5 linked regions of the Cricetulus griseus genome follow. The protein of the gene in region 2 purifies or fractionates together with the protein of the main gene of each other region. This does not show direct contact. Links are inferred from orthologs where the notes say so. Each region holds a gene or a part of one and is shown on either strand. Other genes may lie near its edges.

What was found.
Region 1: the proteins of Ctbp2 (region 2) and Foxp1 purify together in Homo sapiens (affinity purification with mass spectrometry; 3 studies listed by BioGRID and IntAct, with this or other methods). This does not show direct contact. The link is inferred for Cricetulus griseus from reciprocal best matches to the Homo sapiens genes CTBP2 and FOXP1.
Region 3: the proteins of Ctbp2 (region 2) and Znf217 purify together in Homo sapiens (affinity purification with mass spectrometry; 7 studies listed by BioGRID and IntAct, with this or other methods). This does not show direct contact. The link is inferred for Cricetulus griseus from reciprocal best matches to the Homo sapiens genes CTBP2 and ZNF217.
Region 4: the proteins of Ctbp2 (region 2) and Hdac2 purify together in Homo sapiens (affinity purification with mass spectrometry; 5 studies listed by BioGRID and IntAct, with this or other methods). This does not show direct contact. The link is inferred for Cricetulus griseus from reciprocal best matches to the Homo sapiens genes CTBP2 and HDAC2.
Region 5: the proteins of Ctbp2 (region 2) and Zeb1 purify together in Homo sapiens (affinity purification with western blotting; 5 studies listed by BioGRID and IntAct, with this or other methods). This does not show direct contact. The link is inferred for Cricetulus griseus from reciprocal best matches to the Homo sapiens genes CTBP2 and ZEB1.

Annotation. Positions count from the first base shown.
Region 1 is NC_048601.1:45,049,638-45,053,378, reverse strand, and holds part of Foxp1 (forkhead box protein P1), read right to left. Parts: intron 2,945-3,741; coding exon 2,800-2,944; 3' UTR 1-2,799. UniProt on the Homo sapiens protein: Transcriptional repressor. Can act with CTBP1 to synergistically repress transcription but CTPBP1 is not essential. Plays an important role in the specification and differentiation of lung epithelium.
Region 2 is NC_048596.1:67,722,762-67,727,503, reverse strand, and holds the start of Ctbp2 (C-terminal-binding protein 2), read right to left. Parts: upstream 3,085-4,742; intron 2,992-3,084; exon of another isoform or gene 2,933-2,991; 5' UTR 2,714-2,932; intron 2,662-2,713; coding exon of another isoform or gene 2,569-2,661; intron 2,294-2,568; exon of another isoform or gene 2,273-2,293; intron 1-2,272. Other genes in the region: translation initiation factor IF-2-like, read left to right, coding at 2,569-2,661, 3,085-3,446, 3,556-4,168. UniProt on the Homo sapiens protein: Corepressor targeting diverse transcription regulators. Functions in brown adipose tissue (BAT) differentiation. Isoform 2 probably acts as a scaffold for specialized synapses.
Region 3 is NC_048599.1:9,187,107-9,191,890, forward strand, and holds the start of Znf217 (zinc finger protein 217), read left to right. Parts: upstream 1-1,863; 5' UTR 1,864-2,200; intron 2,201-4,784.
Region 4 is NC_048595.1:259,837,116-259,841,926, reverse strand, and holds the start of Hdac2 (histone deacetylase 2), read right to left. Parts: upstream 3,014-4,811; 5' UTR 2,799-3,013; coding exon 2,747-2,798; intron 1-2,746. UniProt on the Homo sapiens protein: Histone deacetylase that catalyzes the deacetylation of lysine residues on the N-terminal part of the core histones (H2A, H2B, H3 and H4).
Region 5 is NC_048596.1:208,794,806-208,799,565, reverse strand, and holds the start of Zeb1 (zinc finger E-box-binding homeobox 1), read left to right. Parts: upstream 1-1,509; 5' UTR 1,510-1,563; coding exon 1,564-1,621; intron 1,622-1,795; exon of another isoform or gene 1,796-2,161; intron 2,162-4,760. UniProt on the Homo sapiens protein: Acts as a transcriptional repressor. Inhibits interleukin-2 (IL-2) gene expression. Enhances or represses the promoter activity of the ATP1A1 gene depending on the quantity of cDNA and on the cell type.

The sequences.
Region 1 (3,741 bases), on a different chromosome or scaffold from region 2:
TCTTTACTCATGTCTAGCTACACATGCTGAGAATGAACTAATCTACCAGATTTTTATCCTCTTTTGAATATCTAACCAGCAACCACTCAGTTTAGAAGCACAGGCCCCCCTCTCCCATGACCCTGCCTGGCTACTGCCTGCACATCATGAAGCTGCCTAGAAAAGTGGGGGTTGGGGGCATGAGTAACCACAGACTGCCCCTCTACGGAAAGCAGAGCAAAGCTTCAGAAGTAATTGCCAAAGACGTTCTATTCTAAGCTGATGAGTGGATGGGAATGCTACCTTTTCGTGTGTGTGTAAAGGAAAAATGCTGACCAAACCGTAGTCTGAGAAAGGAAAAACAACAACAAAAAGCAGGAAGAATCTAGAACTAGAGGATATATGTGCCAAGATAAAACAAAACTAATGCAGTGATCACAGCACAGCCCTTAAACAAAAGTGGCATACCAATGTTCTAAAAAAAAAAAAAAAAAAAAAAAAAAAAAAAAAAAAAAAAAAAAAAAAAAAACCAAAAACAAAACCAAAAACTCTTTATTCTAGAAGTGGCCTAGTGCAGTCAGACACTTTTCTGTTCTCCTAAGTCATCCTAAGTGTCTCCTTGATTTACACACTAATTTCAGCATCATACATTCATTTCTTTTTCTGAGATGGTATCTCATTCTTTCCGTAGGAGCTATAATACTGTTTTCCTGTTTGTATTTTTTTTTTTCTCTGCAGTAGCCCCATATTTTCTCCTTACAGGAGTTAGTTTTGGTCTCTGTACAAGTACAGAAAAGGAAAAGGAAAAAAAGTAGAAAAAAGTAAAAAACTTTGGTTCCATTGCCTACTTAGTCTGCTAAATGAACTCTGTTGGAGGGGCAGTTATTTCCCTCGGGTTGGCAAACAGCCTGGACCTCATCATTTGCCTCTGAATCCTTTTGCCTCCTTTGATCAACAATAAGAGGATATTTGGCTTCATCAGATAAAGCATAAAAGAAAATAATTTACCTTTGCATAATATCTTTGGTAATTTTAGAAATAAAAGGTACAAAGTATATAAATTAAGCTTCGAAAGGCTCTCCAACTAAACCCAAACAAAAAGCTACAGCCCTAGATAAATAAATGCCAGGGAAGTGGGTGCAGATGGAAGTGTGGAGGGGTTTGAAGGGCTGAGGGGTATACCGACCTAGAGCCATCGAATTCTGTGGGCCCTGGTCCCAGAAGCCTCAGTCTGTCTACTGGTGTCACCTGTTAAGTCTGTGCTACTCGGGTGGTGTGAGACTATCACACTGCAGGCTCAACTGCAGTGTAGACTCTGCATCCTGGAAACCAACACATCACCATCTACTGGGCTCAGTGCTCATTAGCTCCCATAATAAGTGCAAGGTGATGTCTCGTTTGCATTAAAATAGATGAGCGCCACCAAGCTGGTCTCAACCGATGCACAAACTCAGCACTATCACCATGTTGAGTAAAGTTAGTCAGGGAAGCTGGCTTTTTGGTCATTTTGCAAACAAAGCAACCCCTGCTGTTAAGGACGACACAGAATCTGTGGTCCTGGCCACTTGATTATAAGGGGGTGGGGGGGAGAGCCTTCCGTGGTCATCATGCCAGTCTAATTATTAAGGATTGTTTACTCTTGTCATCGTCTCCTCTTGGCTGTGTTTCCTGACGTTGAGAGAATGTGGCAGCAGTTACTCACAATGGCGGGCTCTATGAAAAGAAAAATCTCCAACATTCCCATCCCACCCCAATACTGCTTTTGTGAAATGAATCTGCTATGTTCCTAGAGTATGTGCGTGTGTTTCTCTCTCCTTTTCTGTCATTCGTTCTCTTTCTGGCAGGACACCATGTCCCTGTGAGAGGACCTTCAGGTGTAAGGTGCAGCCTTTGGGATCTTTTTTTTTTTTTTTAATTTTTGGAAAAAAAGACCAAAACGGAATGTTTTGTTTTGTTTTTTTAAACTTGAGAGAAACGTGGTGATGTCTATAGGAAAATGGAATGAGTGCCAGAAAACTACAGACGAGAAATGACATTCAGCTTTGTATAATAAAAACACCTATTAACATTCATCACAAGGTACAGAAAACGTGAAGCCTCCAAGAGGCCATGGGCCCAAATGGAGGCCTGAGGTCAGAACTTAAAATGGTATAGAAGAAGCAAAAAAAAAAAAAAAAAAAAAAAAAAAAAAAAAGCAATACATTAAAAAGTTTGGGATAATTATTTTTAACCCCTCCCCCCAATAAACACACAAAGGCCTTCCCCATCCCAACTGGAAGCAAAAACAAAAACAAAAACAAACAAACAAAAAGAAAACCAAAGTGAGTAAAGGCAGTGATATCAACATGCAGTGCTGTGCAAATAGGTCGTCCACTGGAATCTTGAATTCGGGCGAAGGCTTGGTCTGCGGCGCAGGTGCGCGAGCTCAGTCGGGTGTCCTCGGTGTCGGCCTTGGCAGGACAAAACTGCAGTTCAAAGTCTGCTGCTAAAAGTGAATCCGTTTATCGAATTTACAACACTGATGTTGACTCAAAGAGGAAAATCCCAAGTACCAAACAGGTCCATCCAATGCACAGAGTACAAATCCCTTTTGTCAACAAAAAGTAGAAAAATCAAAAATACTCCCAAATGGGATTCTTGATGGCACTAAGAGTTAACACATTTCAGAGTTGTCAAAATGTAGCGAAAAATCCTCCAGACTGTACAACAAGCGGAGAAAGGTTTCACTGCTAACTTTTGACGTGTTATTTTTTTTTTTAATTTGTTTTTGTTTTGCTTTTTTCCCAATCTTCTGTCTCAGGGGTCGGCCCGCCCAGAGGTTCACTCCATGTCCTCATTTACTGGTTCGTCTTCATAATCTCTGTCATGGTCAAAATCTGGACTGTGGTTGGCTGTTGTCACTAAGGACAGAGGCCCTTCCGCTTCCTCAGGGTCAAGGGGTTCCTCTTTGACGTGTACAGGGTGCCTACAGAGGGAGAGAGAAACAGGCTTAGAGGGCTTCTGGATTGATGTACATACAACTGGTGTTGGGGTAACTTAGAAGATGTATCCTATAGCAACAACACTATCCAGTAGAGGCAGAGTCACCCTGGCCACGTGTGTTTTTCAAATATGGTGGGAAACTTGCTATAACTTCATGTCTGTTGTCATTTTCACTGCCTACATCCCAAGGGTCTAGGGACCACATGTGTCCAGGGGCTTCTGGGCCACTCAATGAAAGATCTGGTGGACATCCCTGTTTTAGGAAGGATTCTGTACAGAAATTATTTCTCCTGCTTTTCAGGACGCATGAGTTACTGGAGGGCCTTGTGACGTACAGCGGATGGAGCTCAGACTCTGTGTTTCTAAGAGATTCCGGGTGATGGTGCTGGTCCTGGGACCACACTTCGGAGTGCCAAATAACAGGCCTCGTAGAGACATCCTGGGTGGATGAATGCCACCCTGCAAGTAATTACGTGAAACGGGAATCTGTAATACGGCAGTGGTTCATGGGGACCACTGAGCACAGGAGGCTGGCTGGGCTAATCATGACTCGCTGTGTGTTCTGCTCTGCTAGTTAACATGCAGACCCTGTGAAAGAACCCTCCAGAGGACGACCCCAAGCGAGGGTCTATCATTAATCAACTTCAAGCAAACACAGCAGAGAGACACCATGATACATGCTTGAAGCTCCAAATTAATGCATATTTTTACAAACTGTCAATAAGGCAAGAAAAGCCCTGCCAGGAAACACAAACGGAGAGGAAAAGGCTTGCTCAACAC
Region 2 (4,742 bases):
CCTTTTAATTCCCTCTAATAGCTGCTTTCCAGAGACGTACCTCGGCTGGGTCCCCTACCCCTGGGGCACAGAAAAACCAATCAGTGTCATAAATCCCCCTAGCTTTCAACCCTCTCTCTTGAACTGGGGCGGGTGGGGGGAGGGGCGACCCAACATCAACACTTACACTAAACCCCTCAATGCTCTACAGAAATATGCTGGCTTATTTCCTTTGTTTGGTCATGTTATACTTGATCAAGTGTGAACGATTAGACTGGTTTCATTAAAGGCAAGTACATTCACGGCTAACATTCAACTTCAATGGCGACTATAAGCATATTTTGTAAGAGGGAGGACCTGCTTCTTGCTTGAAACCTACCAGCTCATTAACTTTTCTTTGGGGGGCCATAAAAAGGGCACTGGGGGTTTTTTCCAGGAGTGTGTTACAGCCAGACAAAAGGATATTCAATGTTCCAACTTTAAGATACAGTTGCTATTTAGGAAACAAACAAACAAAAAAAGGAAACCTTGTTTTCGAATTAAAGTTGCTAGGGCTGAAAATGTTGAATTAGCATGTAAAATATTACTTTGTAATTGCTGTTAAGAAGTACTCTTTGAAATCAATTGATTATAAAAAAAAAACAAGATCCTTTTAAAGCCCCATTACTCAAGATGTAAAAGATTTATTTTGAAAAATGTTTGAAATCAGAATTCTCCGAAGTAAATGGAAATTAGTTCTTTGAGAATCTATCTAAAGGCAAACAGCAGCCCCAGGAGCCGAGCGCGAGGTAAAATTTAAACTGTCTTTGAACCCAGCACGAAGAGAGAGAAGGCGGTATCTCCTTCGAAAAGAGGTCCCACAGTTGATGCATCCCGTCAAAGTTAGAAAGCAGAACCACTTTTGTAATCCCTCCACCCCAATGCAATGTTCCCTCAAAACCACCCACCTCAGATAAAAATACACACGACCCAAAGAATCGCAAATAAAGGAGTTCAGCATTTTAAATTTCCAACGCATCGAGTTCTTTCCTACCCTTCAAGACACTCGCAACCAAGGACTCTCTAAGAAGTTCCCATTTCTGATTTTTAAAGAAAAGAGGGCAAATATCCAGGAAGGTCTGTTTCCCCGAGGTTGGGAGCCTGGCGTGGCGACGTAGGCCACTGCCAGCAGCCTCCTAGCACGCATAGATTTCACGAAATATTCCCCCCGATTCCCTACAAAATCCCAAACGTAGGGGTACCCTGGAGCCAACCGCTGTTTGGGCCGCCTCTGGGAAAAGTAAGGGGTGGGGGCTGGGCAGGGGTACCACAAACACGCGCGCGCTCTCACCCTCGGTGTCTGCCACCATCGTCTCTGGCGGAAAGCAAGCCACCGGAGGGAGTGTGTGCGCGCGAGTGTGTGCCCGCGGTGACCGCGCCAAGCTCTAGGGCCCGCGGCCTCCGAGCCCCTGGGCGCAGCATGGGCTGCAAGCGACCGGCCACGCCGCGGGGCCTCCCGGAGGAGCAAGGCCTGAGTGCGCCGACACTCCCGCGCTGCCCAGCCCCAGTAGCCCGAGGCACTGGGGAGGGCGCGAGCCGGAGAAGAAAGGCTCTTCCTGCGGGTGAGTCCGGCTCCGCGGAGCACACCAGTAGCAGGAAAGCGAATGCGGCGGCCCGACCGTGCCCACGCCACGCTGGGTCCCTGGTGCCCAAGGCGCGCCCCAATCAGCCCCTTCTACGAAACTTTCTTTTTTGCTTCGCCCCACCCGAAAAGTGCGGCCCGGGTGAGGGCGCCGAGGACAGCCGGCGCAGGGAGAGGAGGAAGTGGTGCCCGCGGGAGCGCGGCCGGGCAGAGGAAATGCCCGCGCCGCCCGCCCCCGCCCTTGCAGCCCGCCCCGGCCCCCCGCCCCGCCGCGACTTTGGCGGGCCGAGCCCCGCGCGCCACTGGCGGCGGCGGCGGCAGATGTGGCCCCGGCTGCCCCAAGGAGCCAACAATGCCGGGCCGGCAAAACAAAAGGGATCCGCTTCGCCTCCTTCCCGGCCTCTCACTTACACTCTCGGGAGCCGCACGGGATCCCGGGCCGACAGGGGCGCGCCCCCAGGGGCCCCGAGCCACGCGCGCCCGACTTGTCCCCGCCGACCCGTCCTCTCCTTCCCCTCCACCCCCGCCCGCCGCACGCCCGCCTCACAGGCGCAAGGCCTGCCGCACCCCGGTACGCTCGGACTCCTGGTCCCCAGGGATCCGGCCGTATTGTCCCCGCGGCGCGCCGCGCGCTCGTCCAAGATCGCCAGCGGCCCCCGCGCGCCTACCCACCCGGCTCCAGGAGCAAGCCGGGGGCGCCTAGGAAACCGTCGCCAGACGCCGCCGCCGCTGCCCTCCGGACGCCGCTGCGCTCCGGGTTTTTCTTTCCTTTTTTTTCCAATCCTGATGGGAAGGAAGGTGACCGCCTACTTCGCATTCATCAACTCTCATCACAACAACAAAAATCCTGGCGCAAAGGGCGGCCAGCAGGCGCAATCGGTGGCGAGGGGCGGCGGGCGATAACCCCCAGTCGGGCGTCCACCCCCGGGCGCAGCGCGTGGACACGGGGCCGGGGGCGCTGACCAAAGATGTCCTCGGATGCCGGCCCGGTGTCCTTCGCCCTCCTCCTCCCGGAGTGGCGCAGTGAGGCGCGGGCACGGCGCCCCAGCCAGCGGCCGCAGGTGAGGCGGGGGCGGCAGCAGTCCCAGCCCTCCCCGAGGACCCCCCTCTTACCTCGTCTTGGGTCGCCGGCGTCCACGGAGAAGGGCGCCCACCCGGGAGGCGGCGGCGGTAGCGGTGGCTCCCGCCCCTCCCACCCCACCCGGCGGCGGCGGCGGCGGCGGTGGTGGTGGTGGCGCTGGCGGTGAGGCCCCCCCTCAGCGCGGCATGGCTCCCAGCTCGGTCTCCCGCTCCTCAGCCGCCGCTGGCTCCTCTGGGCAGCTCCCGAGCCACCTTAAAATGACACACGCACACAGAGACACACACACAAAAACTTAATCTCTCCAGCTCCGCGCCCCACCCCCTCCCGCCCTCCCCTCTCTTCCTTTCCCTTCCCTTCCCTCCCTTCCTTCCCTTCCCGTCCTCCTCCTCCCGTCGCCGCCGAGCCTCTTCCTACTTCCCCACCCACCCCACCCCCTTCCCCCGCCCACCGGCTCCCGATCCCCCCCCCATCCCGGCCGCGCGCCCTCTCGCCAGCCCTGAGGCCAGGCGGGGGCTGCGCTGGGGGTCCCCGGCCCGAGCCCGCGCCGCACCGCGCTCACCCCCCAGAGGATGCTGGCTGCAACTTGGATCTGGGGAGGGAAGGTCCTAGAAGCCAAGCGCCTCCCGGCTATTTGCTCTTCTTTATTTGTTTTCTCCTCCCGGAAAGGAGGAGGAAAGCGCAGAGAAAAGGAAAGGGAAGGACGGAAGCGGCGCGGGCCGCTGCTCCGGTGCCCTCCGGCTGCGCAGGAGCGAGGCGGGAGGCGAGGTGAGGGTCCCCGCTCGCTCACTCGCTTTTTTTTTTTTTTTTTCAAAGGCGGGGTCTCTCTTTGCAAACCAATGACACAACCCCACATGGTCCGGTCTCGCCCCTACAGATACTTCTCACTACAAATCGGCTCTCTCCAGGGATTAGCGGCTACGCGAAAGTGCATACTGGCGCTGCGGGCAATCGAGGGGGCCGGGCAAGGCAGGCACTCCCCAGCCCAGCCCCATGCCACCCGGGAGGCGCGGGGGTCCCGAGGCCGGTGCGGTGATTCCACCCGCCCTAGCCTTCCTCCTCCGCCCCTTCCACGTGGGGCCCGCCACGTGGGGAGACGCGAGCTCCAGCGGGCCTGGCCGCGGTCCCCCGGGTGGCCCCGGCTCGGTAGGGCCCCACCACGCCCGCGCAGCAGACCTGCCCTCTACTCGGCCCCGAGGCTCCAACTTCCTCCTGGGCCCTGCGCAGGCCACCGGTGCCGTCCCAGGCCCGCGAGGTCAGGCGCGGGCCGGCCACAGGGGGCACTTGCGTTCCCCGATCCCAGATCCGGGAGACCGTGCCGGCTGCGGGTGCGCGCGGAGACTGTTCTGTGTGCTGGAACTTGCCGCGGTGTGTTCGCTATGAGAAGCCAAGTGTTTTTACATATTTTTTTAAAAAAAATGTCTTTCTACTGTCTGTATGTCGCTGGGGCTATTTTGAAAGCCTTGCCTTGGGTCGGATCCCCAGCATGAGGCCTTGGGGGTCCGAGGGTCGCTTGCGCGGTGCCCTTTCACGAGTCCACTAGTGTCTCGGTGTTCTGCGTTTGGAATCTGGACTCCCAACGATGATGGGCCACTTCGGCTGCGCGGGACTAGACAGCATCTGGGCTGGATTCCTTGGCCATGACCTGCGACATCCGAGCGCTGTCCCCGGAAGGGAGCCAGCTCCTTCGCCCAGGGCCTCCTAAGCTTACTAACCAGACTAGGTGGGAGGCTTCTAAGGACCACAGGGGCGCTGAGTAGTGCCCTTGGGTGCAATTGTTTTTAAATCTTTTGTGGGTGCTAGCGACTTGAGATGTTGGGCTGAATGATCGAGAGGAGGGGTCTAATGTCACAGCTTTGAAGGCCACAGAGAGTGCCATTCAGAGAGCCACTTTGAGTGGTGTGGCCTTCTACAGACTGAAGAAATTTATAGCGTATATGGGCCGCTTGAGGCCTCCAAGCCCCTGGACCCATCGCTGTGCGTTCTGGAGAGCACTTTATCTGGGCCTGTTTGCTAAAGTGCACAGATGTTGCCCGCAAGACCGGCGATGTTGGGTTTCTATGA
Region 3 (4,784 bases), on a different chromosome or scaffold from region 2:
ATGTGTGTGTGTGTGTGTGTGTGTGTGTGTATGAGTGTATTGTGTGGGGAGAGGGTAAGTGTGTGTGGGTGTGGGTGTGTGTGTGTGTATGTGGGTGGGGTATGTGTGTGTGTATGTGTGTGTGTATATGTGTGTGTGTGTGTGTATGTGTGTGTGTGTGTGTGTGTGTGTGTGTGTGTGTAGTCCTGGCTGGCCTCCTCCTGCATGTCTTTTTTTTGTTTTTAGATCTATTTATTTATTATATATACAGTGCTCTGGCATGTAGATGGTTGTGAGCCACCATGAGGTGGCTTGGTTGCTGGGAATTTTTGGCTTTTCAAGACAGGGTTTCTCTGTGGCTTTGGATCCTATTCTGGAACTAGCTCTTGTAGACCAGGCTGGTCTCAAACTCACAGAGATCCTCCTGCCTCTGCCTCCGGAGTGCTGGGATTACAGGCGTGCGCCACCACTTGTGTAAGGATTCAGACATTATGCTGGCCTGCCCGCAGTACCCTAGTCAGGCCAGGGTTCCATGGTTGTGTACTCTGCACGCAGGTGCAAAGGACCCCTTTGAAAGAAAGATCCCCACCCACTTAAACTCTCTTCTCTTTCCTGCTGTCTCCCTCTTCTCTTCTGTCCTCTCTCTGTCTCTGTGTCTCTTTGCCTCTTTTCTCCCTCTGTCTGCCTGGCATGTTTGATCCCCGCCTCGGTCAACCTTGGCCGCCATGGAATCTGACAAGGTTCCCCTCAAGCTTTATCATAATAAATTGAACTCAGGACCTCTGGAAGAGCAGTCAGTACTCTTAACCTCTGAGCCATCTCTCCAGCCCCCATTGCCTCTATATTTTAAGTGTGGAGATTACAGGTACTAATCATTCTGTCTTATGTACAGTTAACAAAACTAGAAATAGACATCTACCAAGACGAAAACACGGGAGGCAAAGGCAGGCAGTGCTTTGTGAGTTCAAGGACCCCCAAGGCTGTTACACAAAGAAACCAGAGAGAGAGAGAGAGAGAGAGAGAGAGAGAGAGAGAGAAGCACACAGTTTGAGGAAGATGAGATTTAAGTGGGGAAACAAGGCAAGTGAGTATGAAGGTGCACACCCGTGAGGCAGGGGGATCACTAGGTCCAGACCAGCCTGAGGGAAACTCTGTGTCTAGATAAACAGACAAACACAGGAGGACCACGGAAGGCAATACATTGGGAGGGGGAAGATTGGGCTCCCCCATTGTACATAATGATATTTTTCAAAATGGCTTACCAATGAAAAACCCTGTCAGATCTGTTGTGTCCTTAGGGTCATTCTCTATTAAAAGCTCTGGCTAAGTGTGGTGGCACACTTTGACCCCAGCACTCTGGGATTAAGGAAACCCTGTCTGGAAAAACAAACACAAAAGCAAACAAACACTACCCCCCCAAAACAAAAAAAACAAAAAAAACATGGCCAGGAGGTGTGGCTCTTTCCTTCAGACATTAGTACTGTAGAGGTTGACTGTAATTCCATTTTAGGGGGCTGAAGCAGAAGTGCCATGAATTTCACCAGCTGGGACTACACAGTGAGAACCTGGTTTCGTTTGTTTTCTGTTTGTTTACAAACAAACAAAAACAACAGAAGAGGAAACACACCAACAACAGAGTCCGCTGAACTCTATTCTAAGTAACTGTGGCTGTGCTCGAATCTAGTATTTACAAGGGGAAAAAAAAGTTCTGTGGGAATATGATATTTCCTTTAAGATGCAATAGTTTTGCCACCTACTTTCCCAATCTGATCAAGTATGCCCCCTTGGATGGCCATGTAATCTCACTTGGAAATCTTCCTCAAGGCTTTGTCTTAAGAAGAAAGATCATAGTCTTGGTTCCAGTAACTGGTACTAAAAAGGAAGCTTCTGGCCACCAGGGTTACAATCATTTGCCTATGAATAGCTGAGGAAGTCGTTTTGTTGTTGTTTTATGTTATTATTATTATCATGCTTCTTATTATTATTTATTGACAGTGTCTCACCGTGTATCCCTGGCTGGATACTTGCTATGGACTACAGTGGCTTCAAACTCACAGGAATCCTCATGCCTCTGTCTCTGCAGTACTGGGATTAAAGGCATGCAACACCACACCCTGCCAAGACAGCTATATTTTCAGATTGCTCCAGTGTTTATTCCTTACTGTGATCTCCAAATACTCGGGGTATGTCTGAAGTCTTGAAGATCAGACGTCTTCATCCGGTAAGCATTAGGAAAGAGATTGGTGTTTAACAGAATAGAGCAGAATGTAACAAATTAAGCAGCACCATCTACGGTCCAGGCTTTTTTACCGTTGTCCTGTTTGTGGACCTCTGGGGTGTTGAGCATGCTGCGTGTTGGGCGAAATGGGAACTGCACTGGCGGAAGTGGATGCCTCTGACACTGCTAATTAAGGAATGTGGAACCCTTCCTTTCTGAGTCAGCACCGAGGTATGTAGAACTCTGCCCAGCTCTCTGCTTACTGCATGGAAGTTTAGAAATACAACCAGAGTAGAGTGTCTTGCCTTTTAACGTTTAAGAAGCAGGAAGGAGGTGCAGGGTGTGTGTGTGTGTGCCCTCTCAAGTGCTGGTTTAAACAGTCCCTCATCTTTGGAAGGGTTCAGGGTAGCTGGCCCTTTTATCATCGGATCATGCTTACTGCGTGGATTCTGATGGCACATTGCTGTCCCAAAAGAGCATTGTATGCACCAGTAACAAGCCCCAGTTTTCAGTCACTAGAGTTTCATAACAAGGAAAACATCTCACAAGGTTGTTAAGATTTTAGTTTTAAATTTCTTTTTGGGCAAAGACATCTTTCGTTTCAAAGGTTGCTATTGGCAGGTTTATGGGAAATAGAGAAAAACAGGAAGTAGAGAAAAGGTCATTCATATCCCATTATTGAAAAAAATGACTATTTAGAGTATTCTGAACAAATTTGAGGTGCATGTAAATAGAATAGCAAAAATAGTAGAATAGTCCTCTCCAAACCAGCACCTGGCTCTATAATTTCAATGTGTTAGCCACAACTGTTTCAATTCTCTCCTTTTATAATTTGGGAAAATATTATAAATTTTTATTTATCATGTCAGTTTTCTATAGGTTTCTGTATATATCTTTAAGTATATATATAGTTATGTATAATTTATTAAAGAATTTTACACATTCCATGTTTTACAGATAGTTTGTTGGTATCACATAATATTTAATCCATACTAAAAATTTCCCTAATAAGAAAATGTTTTCAATTCTTTCTTTGTTCTTCACATTTATTTATTTATGTGTATGTACATACATGGGACACATGTGGAGGCCAGAGGACAACTTTTGGAAGTGAGTTTTTCCCTTTTCCCTGTGGGTCCTGGGTATTGAACACACACAGGTCATGAGGCTTGGCACCCAGTTCCTTTACCAGCTGAGCCATCTCCCTGGCCTGATTTTTCTTTTATTCTTTTTTAGGGGAGGAGGTGTTTTGAGACAGACTTTCTTTATGTAGCTCTGGCTGTCCTGTATCTCACTCTGCAGACCAGGCTGGCCTTTAACCCACAGAGGTTCACTTGCCTCTGCCTCTTTACTGCAGCGATTAAAGGTGTGACCAGAGATGCTGGGCTGATTTAAATTTCTTGTTTATTTATTTTGGTTTTCTCTCTGTTATAAAGCCTAGGCTGAGCCTCTTGCTTCAGTCTCTGAAAGGCTGCAATTTCAGGCTTGGACCATTTGCATGGTGGATTTAAACATTTTTCATGTGTTCCAGCATTCTTCATCATCATCTTTTTGCTTTCTTAGAAAAAGATTTGTAGGTTTTTTTTTTTTTTTTTTTTTTGAGACTCAGAGATCCTGCCTCTGTCTCCCAATTTCTGGGTAAGCGTGTGTGTCACTATGCCTAGCTTAATTTGTATTATTTATTTATTAATTTTTGTTTTTTTGAGACTTTGTTCCCTGAGTAGCCTTAGCTGTCCTGGAACTTGATTTGTAGACCAGGCTGGATTCAAACTCACTGAGATCCACTGGCCTCTGGAGTACTGGGATTAAAGGCATGCACCACCACCTCTGGGCTTAGTGTAACTACATCTTGGATTTTCTATTTGCTATCAAAACTATCTCCCAATGGGCTACTACAAATTAAAATAAAGTTTCAATTAATTAATTTATTAATTAATTTCAGTAAGGGTCTCTGGTAGCTCAAACTGTCCTGGTACTTACTGTGTAGCCAAGCATGACCTGAAACTCCAGATACCCCTCCTCTTGTCTCGAAGTACAGGGGTCACATAAAGCTCTGATTTCATCTTTTTTGTTGTTGTTGTTTTGTTTTTCGAGACAGGGTTTCTCTGTGTAGCTTTGGAGTCTATCCTGGCACTCGCTCTTGAGACCAGGCTGGCCTGGAACTCACAAAGATCCGCCTGCCTCTGTCTCCCTAGTGCTGGGATTAAAGGCGTGTGCCACCAACGCCCCGCTCTGATTTAATCTTTAAAAGATTTATTTCATTTTTTATTTATGGGTATGTGTGTGTACAGGTGTGCAGGTACTAGGTGAGGCCAGAATAACATGGGACCCCATGTTAGAAATTACAGGCAGGTTGTGAGTGGCTGTTGCTGGGTTTTGGGATCTGAACTCTGTAAGAGCTTCAAGCCTCCTAATGGCTGAGCCCTTTAGGAGGGGCTGAGTCCAAGTTTTGATTTTAAAATGGCTGTGCCTGCTAGTGTGGAATAACTCCTTTGACTTGGGGAAGCGTGGGCATTTTATCTCTGTAGCTATTGTTGCTGGGCAATCTCCTCTCCTAAGAACTCTTTCTCCTCCGGGCCTGGGTCCT
Region 4 (4,811 bases), on a different chromosome or scaffold from region 2:
TCTACCAACCAAGTTAAAACCAGCTAGCTTAGAGTGGGATGGTGCTGGCATGAGCCTTTAATCCCAGTACTCAGGAGGCAGAGGCAGGCGGATCTGTGACTTTGAGGCCAGCCTGGTCTACAGAGTGAGTTCCAGGACAGTCAGTGCTACACTGAGAAACCCTGCCTCGAAAAACAGAACAAAAAACCCCAGCTAGCTTAAACTAGTATATTATTCAAGTCCCATTACTACTGGTATTGCCCTTTGCCAACCCAACCCTTTGTGCATCTAAAAGTCATATGCTTTTCTTATACAAAATTACTTTACTTGGCACCCTCTGTCCACAATTTAAAAGACAATTAAGTCACTGCTTTTTTTTTGAAAACAAGAATAGGGTTTGGCATTGAAGACAGAAGTGTAGAGAATAATTTGTGTAGTCTAGCATGTCATCCCATGTTAATCAGCATAACCATGACATCAATTTAAGAATCTCTGTGGTTTTGTTAGCTCCCCCAAATGCAAATATTCAGAAGTTAAGTAAGTGTATTCTAAATACACACCAAGTAAGAACAGACAAGAGACAGATAACCCAGCAGACTTCCACCATCAGTTATACAGTTGGTTGCTTACAACTAGGCATATGTAAAAAATCAAATGACTGAAAACCTCCTCCATTCCTCCCATCTCTGTGACCAGTGCCTATCCTGCCCCTCAACAATGGCTCACCTCCAAACATGAACTCAGGAACCAATAGCTGCTCAGGAAACAGCTACAGTCCTGTTTGACAACAGCAGCTGACAGCTGAAGGTCCTAAGCACCCGTTCCGACTGTTAAACCTTTCTAACAAAAATCGAGCCTTTACTTTAGAAAAGCTATAATTATAATTTTTCAAATTCATTTACAGGGTTACATCTTTTCCAGTGGATCAGAGAATGCAGGACAAGTGTTTGCCATGAATCCAACTTCACAATGTAATTCAAGTTTAAACTGACAGGTTCTCCCATCTCTTCCCTCCATGATGGTGTAACTTCACATAAATTTATTCAACACATACATAGTCCTCTGAAATTTAAGCTGGGCACGCCTTTAAGGACTCACCTTTAAGGACTCACCTTTAATCCCAGCACGTGGAGACAGAGGCATGTGGATGGATCTCTGTAAGTGAGACATCAGCCTACATAGTGAATTCTAGGGCAGTCAGGACCACATACAGAGAGGCTGTCTCAAAAAAAAAAAAAAAAAAAAAAAAGCCCCCAAACAAAACAAAATGTCATTTAGATAGTCTTCTCTATTTTCTCCTAGCTTTCTGCAAGGTTTTTGATTTTCCAGCCAAAGACATGGGTGTCTTTCATTATTATTATTATTATCATTATTATTAAAACAGGTATTAATGCTCAACAGGGGTGGCACACACCTTTAACCCAAACACTTGGGAGGCAGAAACAGGAGGATTTCTGGGAGTTCAAGTCCAGCCTGGTCTACAGATCGAGTTCCATGACAGCCAGGGATACACCTAGAGAAACCCTGTCTCTAACCGCCCCCTACCACCCCCCCAAAAAAAATCCAAGCATTAAAAATTTCCACCAAACCAAGAATAGGTAGGACTATTTTCAAGTTAAAGTCAGTTTCATTCAGCCTAGGATCTCTAGGCTCTTATCTACCTCTCCAAGATACTGTGACTTCAACACAAAAAATATAGAAAACAGCTCCCAACTTTGCATTGCTTTGTAGATTATCAGTCAGGTCTTTCAGGGCAATGAGGCTAGTTCTGTCAAATTATTCCTTCTCTCAACAGTCATCTACTAATGTCTTGGTGAAATCCGAAAGACAGGGCATTACTTAGTGTAACTGAGACCCGAGACCTGCTCAGCCTATAGAACTCAGACAATTATTGCCCATACTCCAAATCACCCCTTACCACCACCTTGTACCATTCACTAACTACATTGTGAGCTCCACCCTACCTGTTTGGAATATTTAGTTCACTTCTCAAAAGTTTCCTGCAGCAGGGTCCCCACCACCCTTCCTAAGCAAGGTGCCCATGTTTTCTCCTAACCCCCCCAGAGCAGGGTATAACTGCATATCGAACAAAGAGCAACAAAGACGTGGGTGGTAACAACCTCCCACAGAGGCATGCTAGGACCCATCTAGTAGGAACAACTCCAAGCTTACCTCCCTCCTCTTACTACTTCCCCACAGGCCTGCCTAGCTCCAACTCCAAACCCCTAATTGTCACCGAGGAAGTGCATGCAGCCCTTCAGTCCGAACCCTGAGAAAGAGGCGCTCAAAGAACCCGGCGAACAAAGGCGAGGGATGGAGTCCACGCAAAACACGAGCGAGACAGCGCCGCTCTGCGAACTTGGCCTCCCGCCAGGAGTAACTCCTCCGCAGCCCCACCCGAGCGGCGGGGTCCCGGTGAGGCTTGGAAGCGCAGCACAGACAGATCGCCAGCAAGAAGGGGGACCCGGCGAGCGGGGGAGGGGACGGGGACGTGGGGCGGAGCTCCAGGCCGCCGGCTTTGTGTAGTCAGGCCCGGGGTGCCGAGTGGGGTTCCTCGGGGACCGGTTCGAGGCAGTACACCCCAAACCTGCGCGTGCCCGTGCGGAGGACCCGAGAGGAGCCAGGGCGGCCGTCTCCGGGCCACGACCGCGAAGCCGGGTAGGCCGTGTCCCTGTCCCCGCAGACAGCCACCCTTAACACCCCGAGCGGCGCGTCCGCTCCGCCGCGCCCTCCCCGCAGCCCCGCCGTTGGCTCCACGGCCACCCACCGTCATAGTAGTAGCACACTTTCTTCTTGCCGCCTCCTTGACTGTACGCCATGGGCTCGGGACGCCGCCTCCCTCCCGGCTGCGGCTCCTCCTCCGGCTGCTCCCGCCCGCCGCGGCCCGGCGGCCAGACAAGGGGGACTGAGGGGACAGCGGGCGCGGCGGCCCGCGGAACAAGGACGGCCCGGAGCGAGATGGGAGCCGGAGCCGGGAAGGCAGTGATCACCGAGCGGGGGTGGCAGCGGCGCCGACGCGCGACACTCGGCGGGGGAGGCCCAGGGTGGCGGGGCTGGGAGGCGGGCGCGACCACTATGGAGTGACAGGGGAAACCGCGTCTGCAGACGGACGCAGGGGTCGGTTAGGCGTGGACGCCGCCGGATGGGGCGGGAGGGGTGTAGTGACAGTTAGGTCGTACGCAGTCCCGAGGTGCGAGGGAGCGGATCTCGGCTCCGCGCTCGCAGCCCGGACCCCCGCAGCCGTCGGGTTCCCCCTCCGATCTGCAGGTACTGGTTGCGCCCGGACTGAGCCTGCGCACTCGGCGCCTGCTCAAACGTATCCCGGGCTGTCTGGACCCCTCCGCGGGGCCCACGCCGCTCCCCTCCCCCACCACCGCGACGCTCCGGCCCCAGCCCGCCACGTGCCGCGGGGACCCCGAGAGGAACCCGCTTGAGCACTCCCCAGGGCTTCAGAAGGTGGTGCTCTCCCGCTGTGTGGTGGTCGGAGATTCTCACGCCTTCCGAGATTCGCGTGTTCTCCTCCCCTCCTCAGCCCCTGATAACTCTTCGTTACTGACTTAGAGACTTTAATGGCAGGTTGTACCTCCTGGATTGAATAAGTATTCGTGGGACTTGAGTATAAGCACGGTTCTGAGCACCGATATGTGTTTATAAAGCTGTCAAAAGTGCTGGCATTCACGTGCATGTCCATTTCTTTATAGGCTCCAGTAGATGGGGGGAGTGTGATGCTGTCAACGGCTAAGGAATGGTCTGAGGACCGGAGGGGTGTCGAACTTTATCAGACTCCACATGCTTTGCCTACTGCATCAGACTGGATGTGGTATTGGCTGGGCACTGGGAGAAGAGCAGAAATCCAAAGAAAGGATTTGAAAAATTGAGTCCCTGTGTTTAATAGAGTGACATTTATTGAGCACCTGTGTAAGCCATCCTGCAAGGCCCAGGGAAAGGATGGGAGCTGACAGTCTAATGCAACACTCGCATCTCCTAACTATTACCATTTATAATTCCTTCTACATGCACACAAGCACACTGCCTCCTCCCTAAAGAGGTGATATTAAAGTAAGATCCAGCAATTCCACTCTTAGGCATATACCCAAAAGAAGTACATTCATACAGCAGGGACATATGTTCAACCATGTTCATAGCAGCACTATTTGTAATAGCCAGAAACTGGAAGCAGCCTAGATGCCCCTCAACCGAAGAATGGATAGAGAAAATGTGGTACATTTACACAATGGAGTACTACTCAGCGGAAAAAAAAAAAAAAAAAAAAAACAATGGAATCTTGAAATTTGCAGGAAAATGGATGGATCTAGAAGAAACCATTCTGAGCCAGGTAACCCAATCGCAAAAAGACAAACATGGTATGTACTCGCTCATATGGGATTTTAGATTTAAGAGTAAGGATTACCAGCCTACAATCCACACTGCCAAAGAAGCTAATAAACAAGGAGGTCCCTAAGAGAGACATACATGGTCCCCTGGAGAAGGGGAGAGGTTCAAGATCTGCTGAGCAAATTGGGAGCACAGGAAGAAGGGGGAGGGAGCTAGGAGAATGAGAAGGGGAGAAGAAGAGGGATGCCGAGGACATGAGGGAGCAGAAAGTATGAGTCAGGGGAAGAATACATGATAACAAGAATGGAGATATCATAATTGAGGGAGACATTTTTGGTTTACAGAGAAATCAGGCACTAGGGAAATTTCTGGAGATCTAGATGACACCAGCTACCTATCTCAGCAACGAAGGAGAGGCTACCTTAAATGCCCTCCCCTGATTATGTGATTGATGACTGACTTATATGCCATCCTGTAGCCTTCATCCAACAGCTGGT
Region 5 (4,760 bases), about 140 Mb from region 2:
GCCTCTGGCACGGCAAAATCTGTTGGCAGAAATTTATCAAGAAGCTTTCATGCATCAGCACTGTGCTGGTTTAGTATATTATTCCTTATACTCCAAGGCATGTTTCAGTTGTTTCTATCCACAACTCTCCCATTTATACACTAACATTTAATAATTACATATTTGAAATAATGGCTTAGGTCATTTATCTCATAAAGTTGCCCCATACAATTCCCCCTTTAAAAGGGGTGGGAAACAGGGAGAGAAAGGTAAATTTACTTTTCTTGTTTCTTAATTAAATCATTTGAAGTGGGAAGGCCCATTTCTAGCCCAGATCTTTCTTTTCTTTGTTTTTTTTTTTTTGGGGGGGGGGGTGTTTCAAGATAGGGTTTCTCCGTGTAGCTTTGGAGCCTATCCTGGCACTCTCTCTGTAGACCAGGCTGGCCTCGAACTCACGGAGAGCCGGCTGCCTCCGCCTCCCAAGTGCTGGGATTAAAGGCGTGACCCACCAACGCCTGTCGAGAAAGGTAAACTTAAATCCTAATTACTGAAGACGAGAATCAAGGCATTTTGGGTCTTGTACAAAGTCACGGACTTCAGGTAAAAATCAGCCTCAGCTTTGCTTTTAGCCTCGAGGACACTGTACTGCTCAGATGTGTGTGTGTGTGAAACTCTAGCTATTTTGAGGCAGAGCTCCACTGTAGTGCAGGCTGGCCTCGAACACTTGGCCATCCTCCTGCCTCACACTCTCTCTCTCTCTGGCACTTGGGATTAATACGTTTTCCAGGACTGCTCTCCTAGGGTGCTTATGCCTCAAGGGCGAGTCTCAAGGCCCACAGCCTGGCCACCCTGGGACCCCTGCAGGGCGGGGTAGGCAAGGTGACAGCAGGTGAGGTAGGCGCGGATGAGGAAGTGAGCCTGGCACCGTGCGGGGATTACTCATGCTGCTTTCCTGAGAGCGGAATTTCTCGCCTCCTTCTCTGTCCAGATGAAGTTCAACCCAACTGCTGTCACTTCCCGTCCGGGTAGGCCGGGGAAACCCGCGCGTCTGTGGGAGGGGAGGGGAGTCAGGCAGAACTGGCCAGGTAGCTCGCCGCGCGTCCACGCTGCCCACGTCCCCGGCGCGCACGCGCGGCTCGCCGCGCCGACAGCTGGAGCGCGCGGCATCCGAGGAGTGCGCACCCGTCCGCGGGGGTCTGCGCGCGGGTGTGGCCCACGCCGCCAGCTCCACCTGGTCCACGAGGCCACCCTGTCGCCTCCCGGCCCGGTCCCCGGGGTGTCAGCACCCTCCTCTGTCACCCCATCACACCTGAGCAAAACTTTTCCCTCGCCTCCCCAATTCAAACTCCGCAGCGTCCGAAGCTGCCGCAAACCGCCCCGGCCCTAGCAACAAGGTTCCGGCCGTAGAGCGAGCGCCGCTAGGTGTTAGGAAGGTGATGTCGTAAAGCCGCGAGTGTCGTAAACCAGGTGCGGTGGGGAGGGGGAGGGGTGGAGGCGGCGGGTGTGGGGGGGGGAAGGGGAGGGAGGGAGGGAGGGAGGAGGGGGAGGAGGTGACTCGAGCATTTAGACACAAGCGAGAGGATCATGGCGGATGGCCCCAGGTGTAAGCGCAGAAAGCAGGCGAACCCGCGGCGCAATAACGGTGAGTGGCGGAGGGGCCCGGCGCGGCGGCGGGCAGCGGGCGGCCGGGCGAGGGGCGCTGGGCCGAGCGGGCCGGGGGCGGCGGCGGGGCCGGGCCGAGTGGAGTGGGAAAGTAAAGTAGTGCGCCCCGCTGCCGCCGCCGCCGCGGCCGCCGTCCTGGACCGTTATGTCTTACCTGCCTCTGCGCCTAGCGGCTCGCGCGGCCGCCGGGGACCGTTAGCCGCGCCGCATCCCGCCGCCGCGCCCGGCCACTTTTCCGCCCGCGGGTGGAGCGGCTGTTGCTTCTTTCCGCACTTTCTCCACTCTTGCCGCCCCTCGGCGTCTCCCCGCGCGCGATCCTCCCTCCGCGCAGGCCGCGGCGGCGGGGAACAAACTTGCGGCGGGCGGGCGGGCGCGCGGGCTGCGGGGCGGGCGGGCGGGAGAGGACGGGCGGCCGCGGGCCGGTTGCGTGTCGGCTGCGTGTCGGCCGTGCGCGCGTGTGCGCGGGAGCGGGCGCTGCGCGCCGGGTCGGGCGCCCGCGGTAAAGTTGCGCCTCGCGCGCTCGCGGGCTGGCGGGCGGGCGGGCGGGGATGGGGACGCGCGGGGACGCCGCTAGCCGGGCGCTCGCGGGGCTGGAAGTCGGCGCGTGCGGTGACCGTCGTGGGCTGAGCAGGGTCGGGCGGCTCCTAGCTGCTGCTGCCGTGGGGCGAGCGTGTGCGTGGACTCGCCGCCTGCCGCTCGCCGCCGGGAAGCAGCACAAGACTGGTCGGGACGCCCGGGCAGCCCGAGTCCCCGCGGGCACGGGGCTGTGTGCATGCGCCTGGCTTTGACTCTTTCGGTTTGGGGAAGTTGTTACCTGGGCCGGACGCGCGAGCCGAGGGCAGATAATGGGAGTTGGGCTGGCGCTCGGGGTCGCGAGTGGGGCGGGTGGGGGAGGGGGCGGGCGGCCCGACGGGCGCACGGGGCTGCGGCTGGCGGTGCAGCTGCGCGGGGTATTGATTTGCGCGAATGTGCCAGGGAAATACTCCTTGGCCTGGCTGCAGAGTTTTTTGTTGTTGTTGTTGTTGTTAGTGGTGGTGGTCTTTTTGTTTTTGTTTTGTTTTTTAAGAAAGAGGGAAAGCCACAGGCACCAGGAGAGAGCGCGACACCCGGACCTGTATCGGTGGGTGCATCGTGGGCTCTCCCAGCGTGGGGAGGCGAAAGAGTTGCTGGATGGTGCCTCTCCTAGGCGAGTGTGTGCTCTCGGCTCGCGGCGCGGACAGCCGTCTGCTCTTGGTCATTGTCTGGACAGTCCCTGCGGCGGCGGCCCGGGGGGATGCCCCCGCCCGGGTACCTGTGTGTGGTGATGGGCGGCCACAGCCCTGTGCTGCTGTGGCCGCTGCTATATAAGGAATTCCTCGTGCCTTTCGCACCCGGTGGCTCCGTGGGGCTCCCGCGGGGCGTTAAACGACGAGGGTTTTTTTGTTTTGTTTTGTTTTTTAAGAATGGGGGAATAAATGCGCCCCTGATGGCATCGATGTGGCGTCCGGAGAACTAGGAAATCCTGTTTAAGTGGCAACCCTGGCGCGCCCCCCGCGCCCCACCCCCGCCTGGTCTGTCTTGCTCCCTCCCCTCCGGGATGCCAAACGCCAGGTTTTGTAACCTTTCCTGGCAATTTTAGATTTTGTGTGGGATTTCCTGTCTAGAAACAGATAGGAAGATTTTAGGCTGTTCCAAAGAGGTTTCCTCTCTGTTGTAAACACATTTTGAATATATCTGTGCCTACATTAAAATCCCCGCTGCCATGAATGATTTTTCAGTTGTTCAGAAAAACGTTGCGTTTCAGAGAAGCCTGTTCGTTCAGAGGGAAAGGTGTGTAGCGTCATTGTGGAGAGGTGACTGGTTGTGGCAAGGACCCGAGCACAGGCTACTGCAATTGTAATTTCCTGCTTCTAGCGTCAAATAGTGTCTGTTCTACATTGAGCTGTTGCCGCTATTGCTGATGTGGCTTTATGAAAGGTAAGTTGGTTAGAAAAGGGCTGTTCGTTGACCTTACCTTATTTAAAATGTTGATCGCCAGAGAAAGGGGCTTTTCTTGTTGCTGACGACATGTGTGTGACATGTGAGTCTGAACCACCCAGCGTCTGTGCAGCTGCTGTAAACATGTTTACCTGAACAGGAAAGAATGGATTTTTCTCCTAGAGATCCTGTGATATTAATATCACACACATAAGGCATATCAACAGATGACTTAAGGGTGAAAAGCTATCCCGAAAGGTGCTTGAAATCAACAGGAAAGAGATTCTTGATCGCTGCAGCAAATGGCAACTTGTGCAGGTAGAAAAAAGATGGTGTTTAGTTTTCTCCTGCATGTATGTCAGCCCCCTCCTGTTTGCCGCCTTCCTTCTCAGGGGAGGGATTTATTTACCACGTTTGCTGTCAGTGTTCTTCCTTTGTGTTTAATATTAGAAAAACAGATTTGGGGCTCTTGAGCCTGAAATGTCTTGACTGCAGTATGCATTACTCCGAGAAAACAAAAGGTGTGTGAGATAGCGCTGTGCTACCACAGGTATCTTCCATTTTCATCACTTTTGGCTCTCTCTTTGTATTTCTTTTTGTTCTCTAATGCTTTCATCCATCGCTGACCGTTGCAGCCATGCTGTTTGATTTAGCTGCTATTTTTGCAAATTTAAAATGAAGTTATATGCATTGTGTTGTGAAATCTGGGAATAGGTGCTGACTGATATTTCTTAGCAACGCAGTCATATTTAAGTTGCAGTTGTTTGGGGAGAGAATTATCTGGAAAGATATTAACTCTTAAATTTTATTTAAATGAATAAATAGTGGTGTATACAGTAGGAGATAGTAATAGAGATATTTTGTTATTTATGTATAGATTATATTTGTATTCAATTTTTGAAATAAGGTATATAGATTTTACAGCTAAGCCAGCAGCAAAACATTTTTATTTCCTTCCTAGAATGTGTCTGCAGGCTAGGATACTGATGACAGCATCAAAAACTATAACTTAACAAGGGTGTAGCAATTGAGCAGGTTTGGCTAGATCATCAAACCTTCTGTGGGGACAATATGGTAATGATGCTAGCCATCTAAAGGAATGGCATTACAGTTGCTAAAATTGATTTTTCTGTTTATAGTTTAATGCTTTGTTGTATTTAGAA